Linked DNA regions of Arabidopsis thaliana. The protein of the gene in region 2 interacts with the protein of the main gene of each other region in a pairwise test. Each region holds a gene or a part of one and is shown on either strand. Other genes may lie near its edges.

The links.
Region 1: the proteins of B73 (region 2) and LOG3 interact in a protein complementation assay, tested with the Arabidopsis thaliana proteins (one study listed by BioGRID).

Annotation. Positions count from the first base shown.
Region 1 is NC_003071.7:15,623,294-15,628,956, forward strand, and holds LOG3 (lysine decarboxylase family protein), read right to left. Parts: upstream 3,646-5,663; 5' UTR 3,542-3,645; coding exon 3,419-3,541; intron 3,107-3,418; coding exon 3,009-3,106; intron 2,852-3,008; coding exon 2,821-2,851; intron 2,339-2,820; coding exon 2,239-2,338; intron 1,981-2,238; coding exon 1,909-1,980; intron 1,416-1,908; coding exon 1,345-1,415; intron 1,262-1,344; coding exon 1,118-1,261; intron 1,041-1,117; coding exon 960-1,040; 3' UTR 698-959; downstream 1-697. UniProt on the Arabidopsis thaliana protein: Cytokinin-activating enzyme working in the direct activation pathway. Phosphoribohydrolase that converts inactive cytokinin nucleotides to the biologically active free-base forms.
Region 2 is NC_003076.8:7,127,913-7,135,736, forward strand, and holds B73 (molybdopterin biosynthesis CNX1 protein / molybdenum cofactor biosynthesis enzyme CNX1 (CNX1)), read right to left. Parts: upstream 5,601-7,824; 5' UTR 5,486-5,600; coding exon 5,288-5,485; intron 5,260-5,287; exon of another isoform or gene 5,207-5,259; coding exon 5,080-5,206; intron 4,885-5,079; coding exon 4,754-4,884; exon of another isoform or gene 4,247-4,753; coding exon 4,145-4,246; intron 4,062-4,144; coding exon 3,978-4,061; intron 3,863-3,977; coding exon 3,635-3,862; intron 3,436-3,634; coding exon 3,245-3,435; intron 3,149-3,244; coding exon 3,044-3,148; intron 2,918-3,043; coding exon 2,624-2,917; intron 1,795-2,623; coding exon 1,637-1,794; intron 1,554-1,636; coding exon 1,447-1,553; intron 1,193-1,446; coding exon 1,136-1,192; intron 1,056-1,135; coding exon 825-1,055; 3' UTR 563-824; downstream 1-562. Other genes in the region: MS3 (methionine synthase 3), read right to left, coding at 1-32, 302-441; AT5G20995 (uncharacterized protein), read left to right, coding at 6,404-6,447, 6,540-6,664, 6,778-6,867, 6,943-7,034. UniProt on the Arabidopsis thaliana protein: Catalyzes two steps in the biosynthesis of the molybdenum cofactor. In the first step, molybdopterin is adenylated. Subsequently, molybdate is inserted into adenylated molybdopterin and AMP is released.

The DNA.
Region 1 (5,663 bases), on a different chromosome or scaffold from region 2:
TAAAAAATTATAAAAACAGTATATGTTAACTTTAACATCGACAAAAACATAGTATTAGTGTCGGTTTTGATTGATTTATGTTTTGAACGTCTATTTGAAAGATGTTGACGTCTAATTTTACATTTTTCATAAATTAGGTAAATGATTGAGTTTTTTAGGTAGATATTCACAATTTATTTTACAATTTTCGTGGTAACAAATAAAAGTTTTATTTTCTTAGAAAGTACGCAGTTATGGATTATGGTATTATATGATATAAATTATTTTGCTTGATAACATGTTATTTTACTAAATTACGTTATTTCGTTTTATTTTTATTTTACCACTGTATTACTTAATTTCTCATGCAAATTAGAATCTATCTACATACGCCTTTATTTTTTTGAATATTTTTTAGACAGTTTATAATAAAGGTTAGTATTAAATGGCTAAAAAATGAAATCTAAAAAAGCAACCAGCTTTTCTTGAAATGGCAAAAGATATTTTTCCATTTCAAGAAAAGCTGGTTGCTTTTTTAGATTTCATTTTTTATGAAGCTTTTTTAGATTTTTTTGTTGTTTTCGTTTGTTTTTTCTGTTGTTGTTGTTGTTAAGAGACAGTCTCTGGCATTGAGTATTGACAATACATAATCTTATACAGATAATATATATCTTTCTTTTTTCGTCTGTATTGATTTTAATGTGAAGAGAGATAGATACGAAAGTGTGAAACTTGTCTTGGTTACAACTTACAATAGTAGAGAGTTGCGACAATTACATAAACTAAAAACATTTAGCTTCGACTTAAAAAGACATTACTAATAATTTACATTAAAAATCTCCTCCGAAGTGGAAATTTTACCCAACTAATCAAAATCTATCCCTTCCTTTTTTAGTAAGATTAAATCATGAAATCTCCGAAAGTTTCAAATCTATATTATAAAATATTTTAAATAGTTATATAGATAATCTTGATCTGAATCACTCTTCAGAGGAGTAACCAATCCGTTCCATCTCCCAACAAAGCTTCGTTGCAACCCTTTCATGGCAAGGTGCATATTCCTACAAAGACAACAACAACAATTTATGAGATTATGAAGAAACATTAATGATCCATCTTCATTATAAGTTTAATTTACCTCTAGCTTTTTCACCAGCTCTTTAGCAGTAGGTGCGGAGACGATGATCTCACGAGCAGTCGGGCTAATAAATCCTTCTTCGACTGCTTTGTCAATGAATGAGAGCAGAGAGTTGTAGTATCCATCAACATTGAGCAAACCCACCTACAGAAAAATGATGCATGATATGTTGTTATTAAAGTTGAAACTTTTTGATTAAAATGTGATAGAAGGGTTTATTTGTTTACCGGCTTGTCATGTATACCAAGCTGAGCCCAAGTTATGACTTCAAGCAATTCTTCAAGTGTTCCATAACCACCTACAATTTTCATACAAAACTTTTAGATTTGATAGTTGAAAAAAAAAGAGAGGAGATAAATTAGTAACTATGATATGGTCAAGTCAACAAGTTTGTTATGTACAAGACAAACCAAATAATAGAGTCTTCTCTTCTCTGTTACAAGTTTGTACAATGGGATGAATATGATTAGAAAAGCAAGATCTTTGAAAGAACTTGACTTTCCATAATGATTTCAGATTCAGTGTGGGCAAAAATATGCTATTTGTGGGACTGTTTCAGGTTTTGTCTCTTACCTTGAAATAGGTAAGGAGAAAACTTTGGTCACAGTAAGACTACACAAGCTATATGGATAGTACCTCCTAAGTTAAAAGCAGAGCAATAAACAGAGTAAAGAGAAGAGCAAAAAAAAAATGTCTAATTTTAAGTGCCAGATGTTGATGGGTCAAGGTCCTTTATCTTAGACTGTAGGGACTTTTCATAATTTTTTTAAAAATTTCATACCAAAAAAAACTTTTCAGTGTAGCTTTCACACTACAGCTTGACCAAGACAACATGTTTTTTAGTTTAACCAAATTGTTTTCTTCTCTCTTTTGGCAAAATCAGTCAAACTTTTTTAATATTTTCATGAACAAATATTCCTCTTTTAAACTTTTGATTTCCCATAAAATTCATTTAAAAGGCTAACAAATGCCTAAACTGGTGTTCTTGAGACTCATGTGTAACTAGAGTTTTGACCAGTTTTTCCTTATCATCATTACTTGGTTTGAAAGAAAAGTTTTAGGTTTAAAGTAATGTGAAAAAATGATGATAATTTTGGGTGGATGGGGTTTAAAAACACAACCTGGTAAGGCAATAAAAGCATCAGAGTGCTTAGCCATCTCAGCTTTCCTTTGGTGCATATCTGCAACTGCTCTTACTTCTCCTACTGTTTCACCAGTCAACTGCAAACAAAGAGCACATCCACCAATTTTTTTTAAAAACTTATATAAAAGGAAGTAATAATGAAAAGTAGTTAAAGAGAGAAAAAGCAGGTTTGGACTCTTCTACAGGCAAAAGCAATGATGGCATTGCAAGTAATCGTAATATTGGCTTTTTTTGAATATCTTACATATTCCATTTTTTTTTTTACAGAACCCTAATCTAGTTCACCTCTTTTCATCATTTTTTCACATACCTTTTGTTTAAAATAACATAAACAAAGAAGATATTTTTATTTTAGGTTACCTAATTGAAAAGAAGAGGAGGCAGACTCATAATCATTAGACTTAAGAAAGGGTAATAAATAGAGAGAAGAGTAAAACTGAAGCAAAGACTGGAGACTAAATGTGTTTTGAATGGGGATTTGGAGAACCTACAGATACATATTAATAAACAAACAATAGTGTTTTAGTATTAAAAATAGGGAAATCTTGAAATGTTTTACCTCTCTAGGCATGAGGGTCTTGGGAATGATTCTGTAGAGTGACAACAAGATGACAAAAATGAGGTTTATTAGAAGTTCTTATGACAATTGTGTTCCATCAGAAACTCAAAATACAGTTTTCTTCTGTATAATCTTAAAAAAGATTCACAAAGTTGTTTTAAGAGAAGATATTAAAGAGAGAAAGTTACCCAATAACATGACGACCACCATCATGAACAGCTTGTGAAACCAAACCCATCAATCCTATGCTCCCACCTCCATAGACTAGATCAATATTCCTTGAAACCTGCATAACAAAATCAAGATAAAACAGAGTTACACATGAAGCCTAGATTTGGTAAAAAAACAGTTGAAGCTTTGAGTTCTACATGAAGCACACATTCAAACCCATATCACTTGGCACGTTTCAAAGAAGAAAGAAAAAATGCTCTGCATTTGCAAAAGCTACACATCATGTGAACATGTTTATCAAAAACCTTTAAGAAAATTACACTTTTGCAGACCATAATGAAACAGAGAAGCACAACATCATCTTATCTCAAAAACCACCAGCAGAATGAAAGACAAGATAATACGTAGAAAGTCATGAACGTGTTACCAGTTCGTTGCCGAGGTCAACAGCAGCATCTTGGTAACTGCTCTTCTTGCCTTGGCTGCTTCCACAGAAGACACAGATTCTTCTGAACTTTGACTTTTGCATCGATTCACCTTTGATTTCCATGTGATTCTAAATTTTGGGCGGAAAGAGAAAAGGTAAGCAGTTTAAGGTTTCTTTGAGCACAAGAATCTAATTTCTTAAGACAGTTTTACGAGTGTCAAACAAACCTAATCGATATCTGAAAACTTTTTTTTTTTTTTTTCGTTGTTGTTATAGTTTATCTTGTTACCACTAATGCTTTGGCTCAGGGATGGTTGTTATATAGTGCGTCTTCACGTCATGCTCGTCATCGATTAGTTTCTATTTAAATAAATTACTTTACTTTTTATTTAGTATTTTTCAAAAGTGCGACATTTATTAAGAAAAAATAACGATTAGTAAAGTTTAGAAAGAGAAAATGTTTTCCTAAATATTTGGTCAAGGCATGCTTGGGAAAATATATTTTTTTGGACTAAAACACTTCTAAGTTGCTTAATTTTCGATTTTTTTTTCTATAACTGAGTTATGAAATATTCTTAAATATTTAAAGAAGTACTTGTTTTTTTGGGGGAAAAAAGAAATTTTTGTATTTTAAAAAATATATATTTGGTATTCTTTATTTTTTTTCTTTTGTTTATTAATTAATCATTTTTCAATTTATTTTTTGTTGCTTCGTTGAGGTCTTCACACGTGAGAGATTTAAGCACGCGGGTCTTTCCCCAACCACACAAATACAGCTCATCTTGGCACGCGTAACCAAATTCTTCCTTTGTGTTAATTTTCTCCTTCTATTATTTTTGTTTCAAAACAGTAGCTACTAGCTACGTACTACCAAAAACCTTTGTTTTGGTTGGAAAAAAAACTTTAGTTATGGCAAGCTCATGTACTGTTGACAGGAGATACTTTGAACTCACGAACATCGACTACTTTTGACGAAGAAAAAAAGAATCCGTATTTAAAAAGTTGTGACGGTCCTGACGGATGATTATTTAGTGCTACGATCGTTAAGAGAAAATGACATTTGAGGATTGTTTGACGTTTACATTTGAGGATTAGATAGAAATAATAACGAAGTCGTCTATAGTGAGTGGTGCAAACATAAACTAGGGACAAATTCTTCACATTAAAACCAAAAAAAAAACACTTGGGACAAATCCATTCGGTTTATAGTACGTGTGGATCATATGGTTACTTAGATTTTGGCACATAAGTTATATTCATAGTAGGCTTGTTGAAAAACTCATTAACAAGAGACATGCTCGCTCTCGATATTAGTACATTATCGATGCACATCAGCTGAAGTTCATTATCGAGGGATCATGATGACTTTGTGAATCTTCTAATTTGAATGTTGAAGTTTTATTGATTGGCTCTGCAGATGAGAGAAACATTCGCATGCAGACTGTTATGATTAATTAATGTTCTAAGAAACGATACAATTTGCGTGTAAAATCTTATACATGTAGATAAACGAACTTAATTCATGAATGATTTCGGTAATGTGATATAGAAATGTTGTGTAAACTTTATATATGACCTATGCGCGGTGAAGATTCATTATAGGGTGTGTATATATAAGATCGTATATTTGATTATTCACAATTACTTTGAAACAAAAACCTATATTTCCATCAAATTCTAGATATATGATAAGTATAAAAATGTTTTTGTTGTCCGTATATTCGTTTGTAAACCGTAGTTACATATATAATTAATCAGAACATGATATTTTCGTTTATAGGTTAATAGTCGAAGCTAGGATTGGTAAAATAATAGACGCAAGTCACTCATCTAGTTGTTTTTTTTATCGATCACATCACATGCTCATCAATTTCACCAGCAATCAGTTTTAAGTTGTTTCTAAAAATATGTCCAAATGAATAAGAACAAGACAGGAAAATTGTAATAGGCTCGTGTATATTTACAAATTACAACTCTAATATGCTAGTAATAATGTAATGCAGAAATTTATTTTATGCTTTATATAATAAAGCCCTCTTGCTATTTTTCTTATAGAGAGCTCTCAATGAAACAAAATAACCATTTTAGTTTTTTAAAATTGATTGATCAGTGATAAAGTTCCCTCACTTTTATTCCCTTTATCAAGAATAGGACAAATAATTCATTTACAATATATCTGGACAGTGTAAGATGGGTTACAAACGTTATTTACTGATACTCATGCAAACAAAATAAAAAATAACCA
Region 2 (7,824 bases):
GAGGATACCCAACGATGTGGGATGACATTGCTCTATTTTGTTTTCACAAACAACAACAGGATTAGTGGAAAATTCATGAATCTAACAAATAATACAACACAGCATCAATACATTTTTCGAATGCTTATGCAAATTGCAAATGGAGGATGAAAAACAACCTATGGTACAAAATCGATACTGCAAACAAACAAGAGAAACCATAACAGGATTAGGTTGAATAGTGAAACCATAACGAAAGTAAATAGAGTTGCAAATACACCAACAAGAGAGATAGAATCATCCGAGGGAAATAGAAGAAAACCTGGCGACGTAGAATCGGGGGCGGCGAGAGGCGGTTGCGCAAGGGAGGGACGGAGTAGCTGAAGACGGTGGCGGGAGAGAAGGAGGGCGTCTTGGAAGCGAAGCTAACGGCTGGAGTCTCTGAAGAGCGAGCTGACCCATTTTTATAGCTTTGGTTTCAAACTGAGCTCCTATTTCTGTTCACTATCCGGGGAAAGAGGAGACTCTCTACTATTTCATTTCGTTTCCCAGGTTTTAATTAAGGTAAACCAAACCGAAAATTCGTAAACCAAACCGAAAATGAATGTTTAATCAAATTGTTGATATTTTCTGTTATTTGGCTTATGCAAAGTATTTTTCTCATCAAGGGATATGCATATTATTACAAAAAAGTAGAACCTTATTACAAAAACTACATTTCGCACCATATATAGTATTTGGGTTTCGTGTAACTAACTCAGCAAACACAAAACTTGTCAAAAGTTTTACAGTCACAACAGTGCAGAGCAAAATCACTTGGGGCTTTGTGGAGAAGCTGGAGAGTTTTAGTGAGTACAAGAACATCCAGCCTCTTCTTTCTTCTCTCCCGTCTCATAGGCTGACTTATAGCTTTGGTCCCATGTATCAGTCGGTAGGGTGGCTTCTGCGTGAGGTATGTGCTTCGGATGTTTCTCTCTCTTGTCTCCTTTGATCTGCTTCAGTGCGTGTTTCAATGCAGGTAACAGAGCCTCCATACACTCGGCCACTGCGTTTGGGTTTCCAGGCATGTTGATTATCTGGGGAAACCAAAAACATGGAAACGTGAGTGATGATGGCAACTTAGATATTATACTAATGTGAAGTTAGAGATTTGTACCAATGTTGAGCCTCTAATTCCTGCCGCAGAGCGCGAGAGCATCGCAAATGGAGTGATCTGTCACAGAGAAAAAAGGACACGGAATCAGATGACTGCTCACCACCATTCTTTTCCATTATGAAGAAAAGCAACAATGTTCAATCCAGGTCTGGTTATTCAGTTTTAGAAAATAGTGACCTAATTTGGTTTCAGGATTTTGCATATTAGAGAAAGAAGAACTATTCTGACTGTATTGAAGCTCAATTTTTTGAATTGGATGGGTTTGGTTTATAAGATTAAATATCAGTAGAGTTAAGAGGTAAGTAATAAACCTTTAAGCTCTCTTGCATCATAACAAAGAGGAGACCGGGTGTTTCTCTCTCGATCACCTTTTTCGTTGCTTCAGGTGTTACATCTCTTGGAGTGAAGCCAGTACCACCTAATTCCAAGATGTTAACTATATCAAAAATATGCTTCAAATACAACAACAAATCAACAATAAGTAACTAAATGTTTGTATACCAAGTGTAAGAATGAGATCCATTTCGTCAACATCGCTCCATTTCTGAAGAATGTCTTTTATTCTTTCCACTTCATCGGGGACAACAGCTGTTGCAACTACCTTAGCTCCCCCCAGTTTTTCAGACGAGGAATCAACTACTGACACAGCTCTGGGCCCACTACACCAGCATAAGAAATTCAAACAAGAAATGATCATAAAACCAATGGATAAATAATTGATAAGACCAAAACTTTCACACAAATTTGAAGTGAATACAAACAAAAAACTATCTGGAGAGGGTTTGGGCATTTAACATGAAGAATGGCATGGAGATGAGATTTTGCTTAAAGATGTAGCAAAGCACTGTGATGCTTTCCTGTCTCACTATGACAGGGAGCAATATAACTGTGCAGTTTTACTATGGCATCGAATTTGTGACCTCACCAGAATAACGAACTGGAGAGGTGTATCTAGATGCACTCTTTTTAATCGACCAAAATGAAGTAAGTCTTGTAAGAAGTTTCGGTTCCAGAGTTTTCACTCACTGAATTTAACTCGGGATGAGGAGATATCAACTCTACATTATTAATATTTGCATCCATTTTGCCACATTATAAGAAAATCGAGAAGGTGAATCTAGACGTTTTTTTACTATAAATTCATGTTCTAGCTCATTCCTCATCAAATAGTCAGTCAGTAACAGGTCTTCTAAACAGACAGAAAACTTTTTACCCACAAGCATAAACTTAATATACCCATCAACTAGCCACTTCCGCAATTATCAGAAGCTAAGACATATGTGACAAATATGTTTAAGACCATCAAAACCAATGTATTCCAGGACAAAGAAAAACTCAGTGTTGCCATTTCCGAATCATCTTCTTACAGTGGTTATGCAGTCTTAAGGTTGTAAAGATGCAAAGTGTGTATATCTTCAACATTCTTACATAACTCAATTCATCCAGATTTGCAACGGGACAATCAATAAAGTTTAACAGTAATCATACCTTCGATCAGGTCCAGCCCCAGCTGAGACAGTATCACTGACGGTAAGAATAGCCACTTTATACTCAGGCCCAGGTACTTCATCGTACTTCTTTTCTTTCCGAATAGAGCCTGGTTCTGATAATGAGGCTTTCTTGTCTATTGAAAAGGCACTAATATCAGAAACAATTATAGCTGATACAGAACTTCCAGCAGAAAGCACATTTCCCGTAGCAGGCAACTCCAACAAAGCATTAGCCGACCTCATACTTAAAAGCCTACTGCTCATCTGATGTCCAGTGCTCTCAGCAACAAATCTGACAAACAGGTATATCTTATTAGCCCATTTAAGATAGTAATGCATACTAGAACTTCCAAGAAAATCTAGGAAGATCCAGCTAAGTTTTTGACTCACAAGAAGACATAATTATGAACAGGCTCACCCGGGAGTCCCTGATCCATCGTTGTCTTTCCATTTGATTATGGCCCGATGAAACTCGGGGCGGATGGGATCAGACTTGATGGGCTCCTGAAGTCGAAGTCGCACTCTGAGCAGAGATTAGACTGTAATCTACCCTTTTCTCGACGATCATTTTAGAATGAATTCATATAGAGAAACAAGTATAATGAAAAACTTCAGTTACCTCAGTGGATGGGGGCTTGTCCATCCTGCAAGCTGGCGGATTGTAGGCACAACAAAGATATTGAAACAAACCAAACAGCTCACAGGATTTCCAGGTAATCCAAATGCAAGGACTGTTTTCCCCAGCATACTTTCAGTTGGTTTTGCTCTAATCTCGGCGAAGGTCAAAGGTTTCCCGGGTTTCATCAATACCTGCAAAAAAACTAAAATATGAAAACTTCTCGGTTCATTCTATATAGCAAACTAAACATAGTCAACTTACTGAGCTTAGTTGAGAAACTAAACAGTAGAGTCCCGTAAAAAGAATTTTCAGAAAACATAGTAGCCAACTCTTCCGCTTTAAAGCAGAGAAAGAAAAAGTGCAGGGAGAAAACTTCTACTGCTTATTTACCTTGCTGAAATATACTTTCCCTTTCTCTTCGAGTAATGGCTTGACGAAATCCCTGTCTCCCATTGAAACACCACCAGAAGTTAAAATAATATCAACTCCAGAGGATACGGCCTCGTCCAAAACCTTCTCAAGTTCTTTTCTATCATCTCTAACAATTCCAAGGTCAACAACTTTGCATTGCTGCTGCATCACTGCTGCCACTAACATTGCTCGATTTGAGTCCCTAATCTGCAGAGAGCTCATTATTAAGCCTCTAAAGATATTATAAGGTTCAATACCTATTTGCAATTATTACACAGGTATAACTTTCATATGCATCAGGAATCTTAGTTCTACATAATACCTGCCCACGACCTAAAGTCCCAGCTGTCGGCTCCACAAGTTCATCTCCAGTAGAGAGAATAGCAACTATTGGCATAGGATATACCTACAGGAAAGTTTTTTTTCAACACTTTTTTTGGACTTATCTTCTAGTAACTCTGCTAAAATAAAAATGATATACAGCAATACCTTCACCATGGTTACTCCTGCGGTTGCTAGCAAGCCGATTTCTGAGGCACCAATTCTTTCTCCAGTTGTTAGTACAGTTGCATCTTTCTCAATATCACAACCCTAGCATATAAATTGTCAAACAATAATGAACATATGACGATTGTATCTCCTCCAAACAGCTGAAAAAGCTGCTTTTCATCACCTACTTAGATTTGATGGTTAATACGAGAGAAACATGCTTTATCTATCCCCAGGTCTTCTAGCGGTGACCTCATGCATGCTTATTCTTAGTCCCACAAGAGTCTTTTCTCTAAGAAACATTGCAAACACAAACCTAGATAATAACAAAAAACAGGATGCTGTCCGACAATTCAAGTACATATCCAAAACTAGCCCACCATCTTCCATTTGTTCCAATAACTTACCCATCAAACGACACAGTAATTCAATTTATTTAACAAATCGGTTAGGCATACTCCTAAAAAAATGGTCTTAGATCAACAAATGGCGTTACATATAAAAGAAAAGTACGAGATTTCAACTATTTAGCAAACAGTAAGAGATATAAGAAATCAAAGATATCAAGTACAACACTGGTTACATAAACGAGAAAAGAAGAAAGCATACCACTCTACGGATATCGGTGCCTTTCTTGGTTTGAATCAGTATTTTTACTCTTTTTGATTCAGTTGAGACGTCTCCAATTACTTTAGTGTCCTCAACTTGGACAACTGCGTCCGCACCATCAGGTATAGGTCCTAAAGGAGAAACATACCAAAGAAAACAATAGGTTGAAATCAAAGAAACATATACGTTCAGACACTTCTCCATGCATATACACTACCAAATGGAAAAATAGTAAGTAGTGAACAAGAACAGAAAATTAGAAGCACTTTCATATACTCTAAAATGCAGGCACAAAGTTTTCAAGTCATCAAATGCAATATACTCACCACCAGTTGTCACATAAGCCACAGTTCCAGGAGTAACAGTCACACCCAAACCATCATTCCCAGCTCTTGATTCAGTAATCACCGGATATTCTCCAGGACCATCTGAAGCAACAACTGCGTACCCATCCTAAACAACGATAATGTCAAGTTATTAATCAAATATTCGCTGTTGTAATCATCACCAGATTAAATTGATCCTATTAGTAACCTTGACGGAAGCAGGATATGGAGGTAAAGGATCAGGAGCTCGAATATCTTCCGCCAACACTTTCCCAAGTGCTTCATACAGCGATACGATTACCGGAGGCAGACGCTTAGAGACGCCGAATACTATTCTCAGAGCTTCCTCCGTCGGTATCATCTCCGTCTTTCCGCCGCCGCCGCCACAACAACCTTGACCTTCCATTTATTTCCGTCGCTGATTGATAGAGAGAGACGATGGCCTTGTTTAGCAATCGGATTAGATATGACCCTATTAGATTGTCAATGGTCAATTAACTTCGACGTCCACCAGCGACAAGCGTTGACGAACAAAAACATTCAAAAATAATTTTAATAATAAAAATATAATTTTACTTGTTATTGTATAATCAGAAATAATTATATATCTACTATAAATATATTTTACATATATATTTAATACATTGATTCTTATAATAATTAGCTTTTCAATTTCAAAACTAAACTAAAAATATAAAAAAAATGATTTAAAACTTTTAGATATAAAAATTTAAAATTAAAACCAGAAAATTTTTATTAGCAACAATTAAGTAAGGGAACGGAATTTTTTTTTGTATTATCAATTAAAAAAATTAACTTTTTATTTTTATTAAAAAATAAATTATTACAATTATACTCAATACACATGACTATATGAATTTCATATGAAAGTAATATGAAAAAACTGAGTATATAACTTTTTAGTTTAAATTAAAAAGTTAATAATTTTAATTGATAATATAAGAAAAAAACTAACTATTGATTAAAAATATGTAACAATTAAAAAAATTAACTTCTTAAAAAAACTAACTATTAATATTAATGAATAGTTCATATCTTAAAAAATGTTTATTCTCTTAATTTAGTTTTGAAATTGAAAAAAACTAACTATATTGTAAGAATTAATTTATTAAATCTATATACAAAATATATTTATATTGGATATAAAATGTGTTTTATTTTCTTATACAGTATCAAATAAAAATAATGTTTTTAATATTAAAAGTTAGTTTTGAATATTTTGTTTGCTAACGCCGGAGTTAGTCGATCAGTTATTTATGATATATGTTTTAACCTGAGATTATATGTTTATGATATTGATGACATGATACCATATACTTCGTATATGTTGTCACGCAATCCATATACGTATGTAACTAGATGTCCTTTAGTTTACTTGGTATGTGTTGTCATATGTTCTGCTATATTTCGGTAGCTAATCACTAATCACTAATCTCAAGCTGCCTTATCTACATATACTCATCTTTGACATGTGTCAAACATTTATTTTTTCAGGACTTCTCGGGGAAGACAAGAGATTTTTCAAATGAAGATACAGATCCGTTGTCTAATGAGAAACTCATAGGTGATTAACATATGTTGGTTTATTACAACAGTATGCCTCACATTTTTTGTTCCCTCTAGATCCTAGTTGCTTCTTAATAGAATCCATGTTTTGCTTATTTTCTTGATCTTTAGATTTAGGTCTCGAAGAAAGAGAAGCTGCCACAGCTAATCTTAAGGGCATTAGACGTCTTGTGTTAAGTCCTGCCTCATTGATTTCCAAAGGTATACTGATCGTTTGTACGGCGTCGTTGTGGTTTTTTTTATACTGCACTCTCATTTTTCTATTGAATTGAGCAGGGATATATAGTACTCAGTCTTTCCAGATGGATGAAGAGGAAGGCTTTGGAAGGTCTCTTATTGTTATTGATATTACTAGTATAGTAGTATGACATTCATTTACTTTAAATCTTCGTTTTTGGCTTAAGCTGATTATCTTCCACATCTCAAGGCTGTTGCATTGTTCATTGTGTCTTTGCTGAAATTTGAGAAGAAACTGAAATCTGCAGCTGAGAAGCAGTGCTCAGAAATTATAGCATCGGTCTACGGGGAGATACAACTAGAGTTGGAGAATGATAGGTCGGTATATACAGATAGATATGATTATCATGTACTGGTTTTTAATCAAATCACAAAGAAGATTAGAGTATAATCAACATCATTCCTTGGCTTATTCTTGCCTTCATCATAAGCCCATTCCCACATATTTTCCACACTCTTAAGTTGAAGTTCCAACATCATAACCTCTTGTTTCCACCCAACCTTAGCTCCACTGAAAGCCGTTTCCACTAGAACACAAGATGTCTTCATTGACTTTTCAGCTTGCTTAAGGTGTGTCTTGAGAAGATATAGCCTAGCTCTGTTCTCAAGAATCAGGAACTAGAACATACTTCCTAGTAGCAATTCACTATACTCGATAAAACCCACAAACTCATTTTCATCAATGGGGTTAACTTGACAAATTGCAACATCACTAACACAGTCATCAGCCTTACCAACTATATATTTCTCCATAGACTTGTCAATAGCTAGAACTCCACGAGTATGGACTGTTCCATGAAGGGTATGAAAACATGACTTGAAAACATAATAGGGAGCCAAACTTGAAGTTTTTACTATCATGTTTACGCTATCTCCGGCGACAACATATGGTCGCTCACGATTTTGGTCACTCGGGATGGT